Oryzias latipes: one gene and its partner. The protein of the gene in region 1 interacts with the protein of each later gene in a biochemical or structural test. Links are inferred from orthologs where the notes say so. Each region holds a gene or a part of one and is shown on either strand. Other genes may lie near its edges.

Region 1 (6,117 bases):
CTTTTTTTCCCCCCGAGGTGAGATGGTGCGTTTCAGTTGATCAACTGCAGTGTGTATCAAACAAGCGATATTGAGCTGCCTGAAAATGAGGGTCTTACTTCACTTTCAATTCCCATTTTGTTCAATTCAGCAACAGTTTGAATGCAGATGGAACCACAATGATTAAAAGAGGTTTGGAAATGCATCATTAGTAAAAGTGGTGTTTTCATCTGGTGAATGTATTTATTTTGGATGATAGCACTTTTACGAATGTTTCCTTTAAGGTTAGGGCTCATTTGTGGGTGAGCAATTGTTGCGATTGTTTGACATTTCAGGTGGTTTGGTCCACTTCCGTCCTACGCATTATAAAAATAGATTGTACCAACTGAAGCTGTGAAAGTTTGGGGGTATTTTCCACCAAATGAACCAAGTCTGGCTAAATGTACTGGTGTGAAACAGCCCTCAGGCTAAATCCACACCAGCCAAGTGTAACATACTTTAATCAAATTCTCAGAAAATTCTGCTTGGGAAGATGTGAGCGCTCAAATTAATTCTGGTGCAGATCAAAAAAGCAAACTCAGATTCAACCAAAACATCGGGCTGGCTTTCTGGAGAACCAAGAGCAAGACACATACTAAAACAGAGCCTTGTGGGTAAACACAGCTAGATATGTGGGTGAAATAGTAGCTAAGATGACTGAGCCCAAGTTTAGGAATCAATTCAGAGCTGAAAAAAAAAATTACAAGCATTTTTCATTTCTTTCTAAATTTTATTATAGGTTTATTATTTTTAAATGTCTATACCATTTACTGTGATTTTTGTTGTTTTGCAGCTTTGAAAAAAAAAAGATAAATACTTATTTGTACTTCAAACCATTGATTTTAGTTTTTTAGTCTTTTTAAATGAAACAAATCTTCTGAAACTCTGATTCTTTATTAAATATTGGCTTCAACAATATTAAAATATTTTCATTTAGTGGGTCAGCACTCCCTTAGAGAAAGGGTGAGAGGTTTGGTAGGAGCTTGGAGTAGAGGCGCTGCTCCTCCACATTGAGAGGAGTCAGTTGAGGTGGTTCGAGCATCTGGTCTGGATGCCTCCTGGATGCCTCCCTGGGGAAGTGTTCCAGTGCCCCACTGGGCAGAAGGCCTGGGGGAGACCCAGGACACATTGGAGAGACAACGTCTCTTTGCTGGCATGAAGATGCCTCGGGATAGAGGAGCTAGAGGAAGTCGCACGGGAGAGGGAAGTCTGTAGGCATCTATGCTTAGATTGCTGCCACCGTGACCTGGTCCTGGATGAGCGGAAGAAGATGGATGGATGGACGGATGGATGCTTTGTCGTTTAGGTCAAAATAGCAAAAATCTAATGATGGAGTGTGCAATGGTGTTCCCAGTGGTCTTTTTTATCATGATTATGCCACTTTTAGCCAAAAAAACTACTTTGTTTTCTAGGACATAGATTTTACAGTAGTCCAACAGAAATTAGCGTCTGACTGTTTCTCTTATTTCCCATGATCGCTTTGTTTACACTTTCTTTGCTAGCTTACAGCCCCTCACAACCAAAACTTAACATAACCGGTTAAACAGAAATGGAGAGCAATATTGGAGCCATCCAGCCGTACAGTTTTGAGCCAGATAACAGCACAGATGAGGAAAACAAAGACGTACATAGTATATAGTATATAGTTGTCAAAATGGAGCGGCGCAGAGAGCTTGTGTCTCGCCGACTGTAGCATCTGCCTCACATCTACTATGTTTCGTTATTCATCATGATTTTAATAAAGAAATAATCAGAACCATACTTTTTTATTTTATTTAGGTCCTACATCACGAGAAAAAAATTACAAAAACCAGTTAAAAACACTAAAAGCGTGATTTACATTGGATTTGGTCTTTAATTAGACTTCTTCCATAACTGAATTCTAATCATTCAATCAGTAACATATTTGAAAGGACCAACATTTTTTTCTTCTTTACACCTGTTGGGGCAGTTTTAGAACCTTTTTTTAGACAACACTGCGACAGACTGGCGACCTGTTCATGATGTCCCCTGCCTTCGCCCACAAGTGGCTGGGGTAGGTTCCTGCAGCCCTGTGACCCCAAAAGGGACAAAATGGTTAAGAAGATGAATGAATGTAAGACAACAAAGCAAGTTGTATCTCATCATGAGTACCAAATATAGCTCAAATGGGCTGCTGTTCGGCTATTTGTTTTTTTTTGCTGTGTTTTTTTTGCTATGTTTCTGGCCTGCCTGATGTTAGATATCTGGATCAAGGGTTTTTGTGAGTTAGAAAACAAGACACCGACTCTTGAGAACTGCAGTTTTACACCTGTAATTGTATCAAATGAAAATAAATTGTTTTAGCATTAGTATCATTTCATCTTTAAATCCATTCTTTTCTATGATCTCTCTGATGATCACATCAATATGAGATGAATCTATTGGGTTTGAATGTGATTTTATTTGGCGCTTCAATCTGAGAACCACGTTTTATCCATTAAGACAATAGAATAAAGCTTAAACTATGCTTCTGCCAGCAAGTCTCTATGTAAAAAGCGCACACAGATAAGTCAACAGATAGTTTCCAGATCAATCTCTGCGACATCCTTCTCCTCCAGACAAGCCCCCCACGTGGGGGTCTGCATTATCCCCAATCCTTCTGGATGTGATTGGGCGCCTCGCGGATGAGTGGCAGGTGGATGCAGCTCAGCGTGCTCACTTTTCCTCGCTATTGGCTGTGTTAAAATGACTGCTCCTCCCGCAGACCACACACCATTAGCTTTTGGGGGGGAGGGCTTCGCGAAGGAGTCGGGAAGTTGTAGTTCTTCGCGGCGAACGCGCATCTGTGCGGCTTATTATCGACTATTATGAATTAGACTACACGTCCCGACGTCACGGTCCGGGCATCTGTAATTGCCGTGAATATGTAATTAAACTCGTACGACTGGCTGCTTCTAAATTTGGCGTCGTCGGGGCAGGCTGGTACAGTCGATGCTGCGCGAGGATGTGAGCTGGAACGGCGGAGCGACACGCGCGCAACAAACGGGACCGAGTGGAGAAGCTTACTCGAGTTGGAAGCAGATATGCCCAAAAGTTGAAGTGTTTTTTGGATCGCTTTGCGACTTTTGCGCACATAATGAGACACCGGAAATTGTGAGGACGATTACTTTGGTCTTTTTAAAATCATCATTGGTTGGGCTTTTTTTCTTCTATTTTTTTAAATATTTTGCAGAGTCAACAATCCTCCTAGGATGTTCTCAGTCTTCACCGAACCAGCTCAAAGTCATTAACCGTCAACAAACTAGCATTTTACGCACGGAGGAGGGAGATCGGAGCTGGCACATTCCCTTTGGATGAACTTTACAAAACATCTTCAATGATTCGAGATCTGAGCAAGATGTACCCCCCGGCCCGGCATCCGGTAAGTAGATGTCATCGAGGGTCAACTTGTCAAAACGGCGCAGATTTAACAGCCGCGAGCCTGATGCGTAATCAGTTTAAATCAAGTTTCCGTGCCACTGCGCCCTTGCACAGACAATTGCGCTCATTGTCAAGTGTCCGCAGCTGTGTGCGTGTGACTGTGACTGTGCGGGGGTTGACGTGTGACAAGACTGGGTAAAACCAAAAAAAAAAGAAAAAAGCTAATGACAGAGACCTTTTGTAAGCCACATTGCCATCCGTGTGAGAGTGCCGTGACCCTGAACTCTGGTGGCTCAGTTCTTCCTGCTCTTTTTCTTCACACGCTGTTGCATCTGGGTTGAGGTCCCCCACCAGCCGGGCCAGCCATTCAAGTTTACTGTAACTGAGTCCTGCGACCGGATCAAGGAGGAGTTCCAGTTCCTGCAAGCCCAGTATCACAGGTGAGAGTCTGGATGGAGAGTGGCATTCATCCTGCAAGACCGTTGAAACACTGGAAATGCTTGTAATTGCTTGTGCCATTTAAAGAAACAACACTAAATTAATTACCATCAACAAAACAAAATATAGATTTTTAAAAATAAACTGCAGCTAATGAGCAAAATTAGGTTATGTTAAGAGATCTTTTTTTGGATCAAAAAACGATTTGTAGTAAAAGTAAAAATAGACTTATTTTTTTGTTTGGAGAAACAAGAAATTAAAAAGAATAATACTTAAAAATGAATTAAAAAAAAGGTTGTGGTTTCAAATTACTTGAAAATAAATGGACTTCTTTGATGCTGCCCTGCTGTGAAGGATGACCAACACATCTAGTATGCATGATGCAATGACTAGAAATGCCACACAGAAGCAGGTTTTCCTATGACTACTTAATGAAATATTTTTTTTACTCAACTTCACAAGATGAAGATTTTATAAAAACACCCACCTCAGTCTCTCTATGTGCAGTTCACACAGTGGCCCCCCTCTTGTTTTAGGTCCATCTGTCATCAGTGACTAACCGCAGGTACACCTCATCGACCCGGGGTGCACGTCTTTCCAAGTGCAAGTGGTGTGAAATACCATTTTACCTGAAATGATGAAGTGTGAAATACGTCGCTATAGGGGTTAACCGTAAGCGCGACACCAATGCATAATAATCGCCCACTTCTAGGCACCTTGTAATTATTACCCAATCACCTACTGAGATGAACCAGTGGTCCAGGTTTCTGGTCAATCCCCAGGCAGAGCAGTTTCAGCTGAGGATAATGAGCAGCATGCTTAATGGTGCAGCCACCCACATCAAACGGCTTCATAGCAGCAAAGTCCTGACAGGACGGAGGCAGGGGTTTGGTGAAAAAAGATGGATCAGACAAACCTTAAGGTTACACCTCTGGACTAAAGCTTTGATGGAAATGCTTAGTGTTTGTTCATTTATAATTTTCATGGTCAAAAATAAAACTATAGAGGAAGTAAGAAAAACAATTTCCTGCATGTTAAATGTTTCTGGTAACTCGCCACCTTTAAGAGAGATAAGCTTTTGTGTCAAATGGATTCGCATTACGGCTGCTTTTTTGTTGATGCTGCAGTTTAAGCTTTCGCTCACAGTGAAAGAATATAGGATGAGGTTTGTGTGTTTGTTCATTGATCCATTAATTACTGCTCAGCACCTGCTGAGTAAGAGCCTGTGTCTCCAGGAAGAAGCTGCTGCCGTCTAAACAACTTTTCTCCTCTTTTGTTGTTGCACTTAAAATAAGAGGATGTGAAATCAATAAAACACAGATTTGAACTTTTAAGTAAAATATATATATATATATATATATATATATATATATATATATATATATATATATATATATATATATATATTTCCCTAATTTAGGTTGGTTGTGGAATAATGTGGTCATTAACTAATCTAAGATGTTGTTTGTGCCTTTTAGCCTGAAAATGGAATGTGAGAAGCTGGCCAGTGAGAAAACTGAGATGCAGAGACACTATGTTATGGTAAGTCTCCCTTGGATGTGTCCTTGGTGTTTTGGGCTTAAAGAAGATCAAACAGAACACGTTTGGATAACCTCACTTTGATCTGTCTCTTTCAGTACTATGAAATGTCATATGGGCTGAACATTGAGATGCACAAGCAGGTAAGAAGGCTCCTTATTAAAGTTGTTACACAAAGATTTCTGTGTCTGAGGGATGCAGGCAGAGAATAGAGGATTTTTAGGTTTTTTTTTTTTTTTAATTTGCAGATGTTGTTGGATTCGTAAATATTAACTATTGATTGTCACAGTCACAATGCTCGTGCAAGGCTTTTTACCTGAAAAGACAATTTGCAGTTACTGAAATGAGGTTGCCAATTTTGCTTTTCTTTACAAAGCGTTTTAATAGTTTTGCTCTTTACTTTAGTACAACTCTGAGTAAGTGGAACCTCCTAAATGGTTTTTGCCTGAAGAAAGCTCATTGTTTCAACCTTAACCCCTTTGAAACATAGTGGGAATTATCAAGTCTGCCACTGTTCAAGATCAAAATTGGTAAAAATTAAAAGATTATTGAAAATATTTCTAAATCTACTACATTTTTAGCTGTCTCATTAAAAACCCACTCTTTTGAGCTCGTCTGAATTTTCAAAGGTTTTAAGTATGATTTTTGAGAATTTAAGTAGGATTATGCTGTTTTTAGCCAAAATAAAATAAAGCTGTCTTGGGTTTTGTCTATGAGTGGATGCATCATGATGAGGCAAAG
Region 2 (5,330 bases), on another chromosome or scaffold:
TTTTTCTAGACATAGTTTCTGCAGAGCAGCAGAAGTTTGCCTCTGAGTTGTGGGCAGAACTGTCGCCGTGGAGCAACCCAACCCCCTTCCCCTCACCAACTCTGTTTATGTATGTGCGCTCCCTCTGGCTTAGAGCCCCTCACACCCGCGCACCAACAAGACTGGTGCAACAATAATGGCAATAAATATCTCAGCTATCCAGCCATACAGTTTTGAGCCAGATGCAAGTGGCCTGCCCATTGTATTTTGTACGCCACAACTTCAACAACAAATTAAATGTCCGGATAAAGAAATATTGAAAATTGAACAAAGAAATATTCAGAAATGCAATTTTAAGCTTAATTTTCTTTAAACATGTCCTCCATCATGAGAAAAATCCCACAAGAACATCTTAAAAAACACCAAAAACACAATTTTAATCAGAGTTGGTCTTTAAAGGTGCATCCCTCCTTTGCCATACAGTGCCTGCATTGACTTCAGAAGCCCAGGGACCTCAAAAGGATTTCAGCGTGTCCTGAATCCTTGATTCAGTGCAAAATCATGAAATTAACTTCAAGATGAGGTCAACATTTCTGAGCTGATTTTCACATCTTTAGTATATAACATGTATAACGCCATAATAAATGATTTAGACAATGGATCCTCTGAAGAGTCCTCATTCCTCTATATTTAAATAGCATATTTGATCACTTTCACCCTCCATCAATAGCCTACATCTATTACAATCATGACTGAATCATTTCTTTTTTCTTATCTGAGTGGCAATAAGAACCATCCCTCTTCCTTCTTTTCCTTTTTCCTCTCTGGTGGATTGTGTTTGGTGTCTCTCATATCTTCATAATCGCACATTGTCTATTAATCTAAATTAATTTTACACACGATGCTCCCTGACTCCTGCCTTCTACCCACATCTAGCAGATGCACGCACACGCACACGTGCTCGCTTTCAGATTACACAGATAAATGGGTCCCAGTCCCGGGCGGAAAATTGAACATTTGGATTTGCAGAGTAAGAGCGTTACGTTCTGATAGAAAAAGAGTGAAAAGAAAGAGAAAGAAAAATCAGATAATTGAAGTGCTAAATCAAGTGATGGCAAAAAAAGGGATATGCATTCATTACACTCTCCATGCCGTTAGTGAAGGAGTGCAGCTGAAGGGGACTTTGATCCCCCAGTTTGTCATTTCACTCCTTATTCCTCTTTTGGTTTTGCCTTCTTGTGTTTGGGTTGGTCTGCTGGGAGAGAGGATTAGGATGTCTGCTGCCACACCTTTCTGTCCCTCCTGGGATACCGCACTGTCACTCAGCCCGACGTCCGCTTACAGGGGCTCAGATAAGAGATCAAAGAGTGAGTGACTGTATGTTTCAGTGTGTTCAGTTGTGTCAGGAGAATTTTAGTGTTTGTGTGTGAGTCACTAAGGTGATAGCAAGTATGTGGCCTTGTTGCCCAGCAAGGAACTACAGTCTTCTCCAGAGAAAGGATCAGAGCAGGAGACAACTGGATGAGCAGCAAAGGCTTGACTCTGCTGCCTCCATTTGCCAGGAAGAGTGGTGATGGAGGATCTAAATGTAGGAAATGTCATTTGTGAAGAGAACTGAGAAAAACCCTAAGAAAATGACAATACTTACACCCGAAACAAGGGAAAATAAAAGGGGTAACAAAACAGATGACTCCATAAAGAGAAAAATCTCAACTGAAACCTGATTTGAAAGAGACTTAGGAAAACAAAACTCAGAGAATAAGAGAAGCACCAATCCTCAACGATATTGCTGTCCAGTTTCAGGAAGGTGCATCTGCACAATGTATACGAAGTAACAGAATAAGATCTACTGTAAGTCACGTGGGCCTCCATAAAATAGATTCTATGCATTACATTTTGTAAAATGCTGATGGAAAATGTATTAGTTGAAAAAATTTACCATTCTTCAAAAAAATCCCTGAAAAACTAACAGTTTTCTTATGTTCACGAGTCAGGAACCTGACAAGGTTGTTTTCATTTGAGTCACATGGTTATAGGGACATTTATTGATGCTATAATTCTTGTTTGATTGGAAAAATGGCAGTTTGAAAAGGTTCATCGTGATATTTATTTACGGGGGTTGATTTATCAGTAAATTAGTAAATCTAAATTAGAATTATTACTCCAAGCCCAGGGCTGCATGGAGGCGTAGTGGCCAGCGAATTTCTCTTCAAAGCAAGAAGCCCCTAATTCAAATACCAGCTGGGACATTTCTGTGTGAAGTTTGCATCTTCTCTCTGTGCATGTGTGTTTTTTGGAGCATACCGGCTTCCTCACACCGTCCGAAAACATGTTTTAATAATGTTAATTGAATACTCTGAATTGTTTATATGTGTGAGTTGCCCTGCAACAGACTGGGGACCTGTTAAGGTTATAACCTGCCTTCACCCAACAGTAGCAGGGTGGGCTCCAGAAGCCTGTGGCCCAGACAGGGAGTCAGCTTGTACAGAAGATGGATGGATGGATGGATGGATAGATGCTCCAAACTCAATCTGACGATGAAAACGTCCTTTGACATTCTCCCGACTGTCATGTGGTTTGTCTACAGCGACGTCTGTGGCTGCCTCGCAGGTCCCAGCAGTGACCAGCGACTCAGCGGGTTCCTCATACTCCATCAGTGGCATCCTGGGGATCAGCTCAGCAGCTGATGTTGGCAAGAGGAAAAGGGACGAAGGTGAGCAGTCATTTTTTTACTATGATGCAAAAACTGTAGCTTTTAATGATTAGAGTCCAGGCAGTTTCATTCTTTAAGGTTTCAGTATGCAGTAACTGTGAAAGTTCTAGACGAGTTCAATCATGATGGGCAAAAAATATACTTTCTGTGCTCTAAAAATGATAACATAATAACTTCCTTTTTCATTTAACTTAATAACATGCCTATATTGCCTTTGCTGAACAATACTGTACATCAGTGGTAGAGCTAGAACATTTTAAATAGGGGGGGGGGTGGAAGGGGGCAGAAGACTTTGGAGTTGTGGCAAATGAGAATGGAAAAGTGAAAGGCCAATCCAAGTGAAATGATTTAAAAATACATGCATGTATTTCAAACTGTTTTATTATTGATGAGTTATTATGAATGAGTTTTCCAGAAATAAGAATTTCCTCCTATAAGGAAACGAAGGCAAGGGTGCTGACAGCCCAGATCAGCTCGGACACACAGTACAGGGGCATATTAAATGATTTGAGGGGGCTCAGGATTTAATTAAAAAATCTAAAAAAAATTGTTTTTTGCAATGCTCAAAAAAGCATGTATTGATTTTTTTTTTTATCTTTGTCAATATTGATAATAATATTAACCCAAAGATGTGTGTGTGTGTGTGTGTGTGTGTGGGGTCGTGCTGTGTGTGTTTGTGTGTGTGTGTGGGGTGGGCTATCTCCCAGTACCTCTGCCCCTGCCTAACATGTAAAAAAAATAATTAAATTGGGAGTCTATCATGTTTTAAGTTTTTTTCTTGCCTCCTTTTGGTTTGCCTTTAAGAAGCCTTTGCAAAAATTGGACCAAAGTTTCATGATATTCTCCCAGAAAATCAAAACTGCAGGTTTTTTTTAATATGCACAAATAACTGTTTACAGGAAAATGGGCTGCAAGAGACCAGCAAGTATAAAAATTGAAACTGTTTGATTTGATAAAAGACATGAAAAACATCCACATAGTTGCATGTAGAAAAGCTATGAATGTCAGTGTCAGAGATGTGTGTTTGTACATTTGCAATATTCGAACATCTTCATTGAAAACCCACATTTGTTTACTAACAGTGCTTCACAAGTGAGTTACTTGAGAACTTAGTTTATTCATGCACTATTGATCATTTATGCTGTCATACTGGATCAATGTTGCAAGCAGAGAGAGCAGTCAGGATTTGTTTGTCTGTGCGTTGGCAATCCTCACATGCTTTTTATGCTTTTGTGTGTCTGTCTGTGCACTCATACATGCAGGGTGGCGTGTGTTTGTGTGTGTGTATAAGCAGCAGTGTCAGTGGCATTAAAAAGCCATCACACAGACGGTCTCCTGCCGTAAATGAGACAGCACCAGATGTTGGCGTGAGAAGGGGGGGGGTGACAGAAAGCCACAAGGGGCTATTTCTCTCTCTCGCTCATTTGGTTTCAGTCTTTCCATCCCTCAAATAAACAAACACACATGCACACACAAACGTACGCACTATACAAGTTCCTTGTCCCACTGCTGATGAATTTTCAAATCACTCTAGACAGGTAAGTCCCTGATAGGCCAAGAAATGCTTGATTCAAACGACCAGCTCATTACCGAAACACTCAGATCTGAAACATAGAGACACACTCATATACTGTAAAGTTATCTAGATAAGAACCATTGCCTGGGCTCCTGCCTACAACTTTCCTTTGTTCTGTTGTGGCAAATGAGCTCGGATTATTACATATCAGCTACTGTGCTTTGCAGTTTGGTTTAAGATGTTAAGTTTTGTTTCTGAAATCCCCAACTAATGTGTGTGTGAGTCCTAAACTAGCAAGATTAGTAAGTATATAGAATATAATACAACTTGTTTGCTTTCTAAGTGAACTTTTTTTTTTACAAAAGTCTATAAAAAAAATGTCTTCAAACTTAATTTATAAGAAGCTCAAATTGTGTCACAGTTGTCTATCAACTATTTCTAGTTTGATAGACAACAAAAGTGATCTTCCTATGGTCACTGCCCTGACTAAAGAAGAAAATAACACACAATAGCACTTTTCAGTTGGTGAAACATATCAGACAAGTGAAAATGTTCTTAAAGACATGGATTTAAGTAAGTTTGACATGAGGCAAATTGTGATGGACGGATTTGTGGGGTTAGAATATCTCCAAAGCTGCAGCTTTTGTGGATGTTGTCCGTCAACAATTGTCTGTCAAAAGTGGTCAAAGAGAGGTCAAAGAGTGAATGTGGACATTTATTTTGACCACAAACACAAGTATACCTGGTAAATGAAAACATGTTACCTAAATAAATATAAAAAAATGTTACAATAATAATAATTAAAAAAAGAAATAAACCAATGTTGCCTGGTAGCTGTTGGCTATTTGAGTTAAATGCAAAGCAGAAGCAGTTCAAAAATGGGTTGAAAACCACTGCAAAAGCTTCAAATCATTCAAATCTCAGTCTAAGCGAACATCTGTGGGATCTATTATTCATGAACGCTCAACCCATTGAAAGCAAAACTGCAAGGTTCCTCCGCTATGATATGTCTCAGACAGACAGTCCTATTGACATTCCTGATAAATATATCATAATTTCTGCACTACAGGGCACACTGGATTATAAGGCGCACCTTCAATGTCTGGTCTATTTTTTGAGCTT

Evidence for each region. The genes of interacting proteins can lie anywhere in the genome.
Region 2: the proteins of transducin-like enhancer protein 4 (region 1) and pax5 form a complex in vitro, tested with the Homo sapiens proteins (2 studies listed by BioGRID). The link is inferred for Oryzias latipes from reciprocal best matches to the Homo sapiens genes TLE4 and PAX5.

Annotation. Positions count from the first base shown.
Region 1 is NC_019867.2:5,256,367-5,262,483, reverse strand, and holds the start of transducin-like enhancer protein 4, read left to right. Parts: upstream 1-2,643; 5' UTR 2,644-3,132; exon of another isoform or gene 3,133-3,211; 5' UTR 3,212-3,355; coding exon 3,356-3,400; intron 3,401-3,741; coding exon 3,742-3,839; intron 3,840-5,315; coding exon 5,316-5,379; intron 5,380-5,474; coding exon 5,475-5,519; intron 5,520-6,117. UniProt on the Homo sapiens protein: Transcriptional corepressor that binds to a number of transcription factors. Inhibits the transcriptional activation mediated by PAX5, and by CTNNB1 and TCF family members in Wnt signaling.
Region 2 is NC_019859.2:12,746,083-12,751,412, reverse strand, and holds part of pax5 (paired box protein Pax-5), read left to right. Parts: intron 1-2,566; coding exon 2,567-2,692; intron 2,693-5,330. UniProt on the Homo sapiens protein: Transcription factor that plays an essential role in commitment of lymphoid progenitors to the B-lymphocyte lineage. Fulfills a dual role by repressing B-lineage inappropriate genes and simultaneously activating B-lineage-specific genes.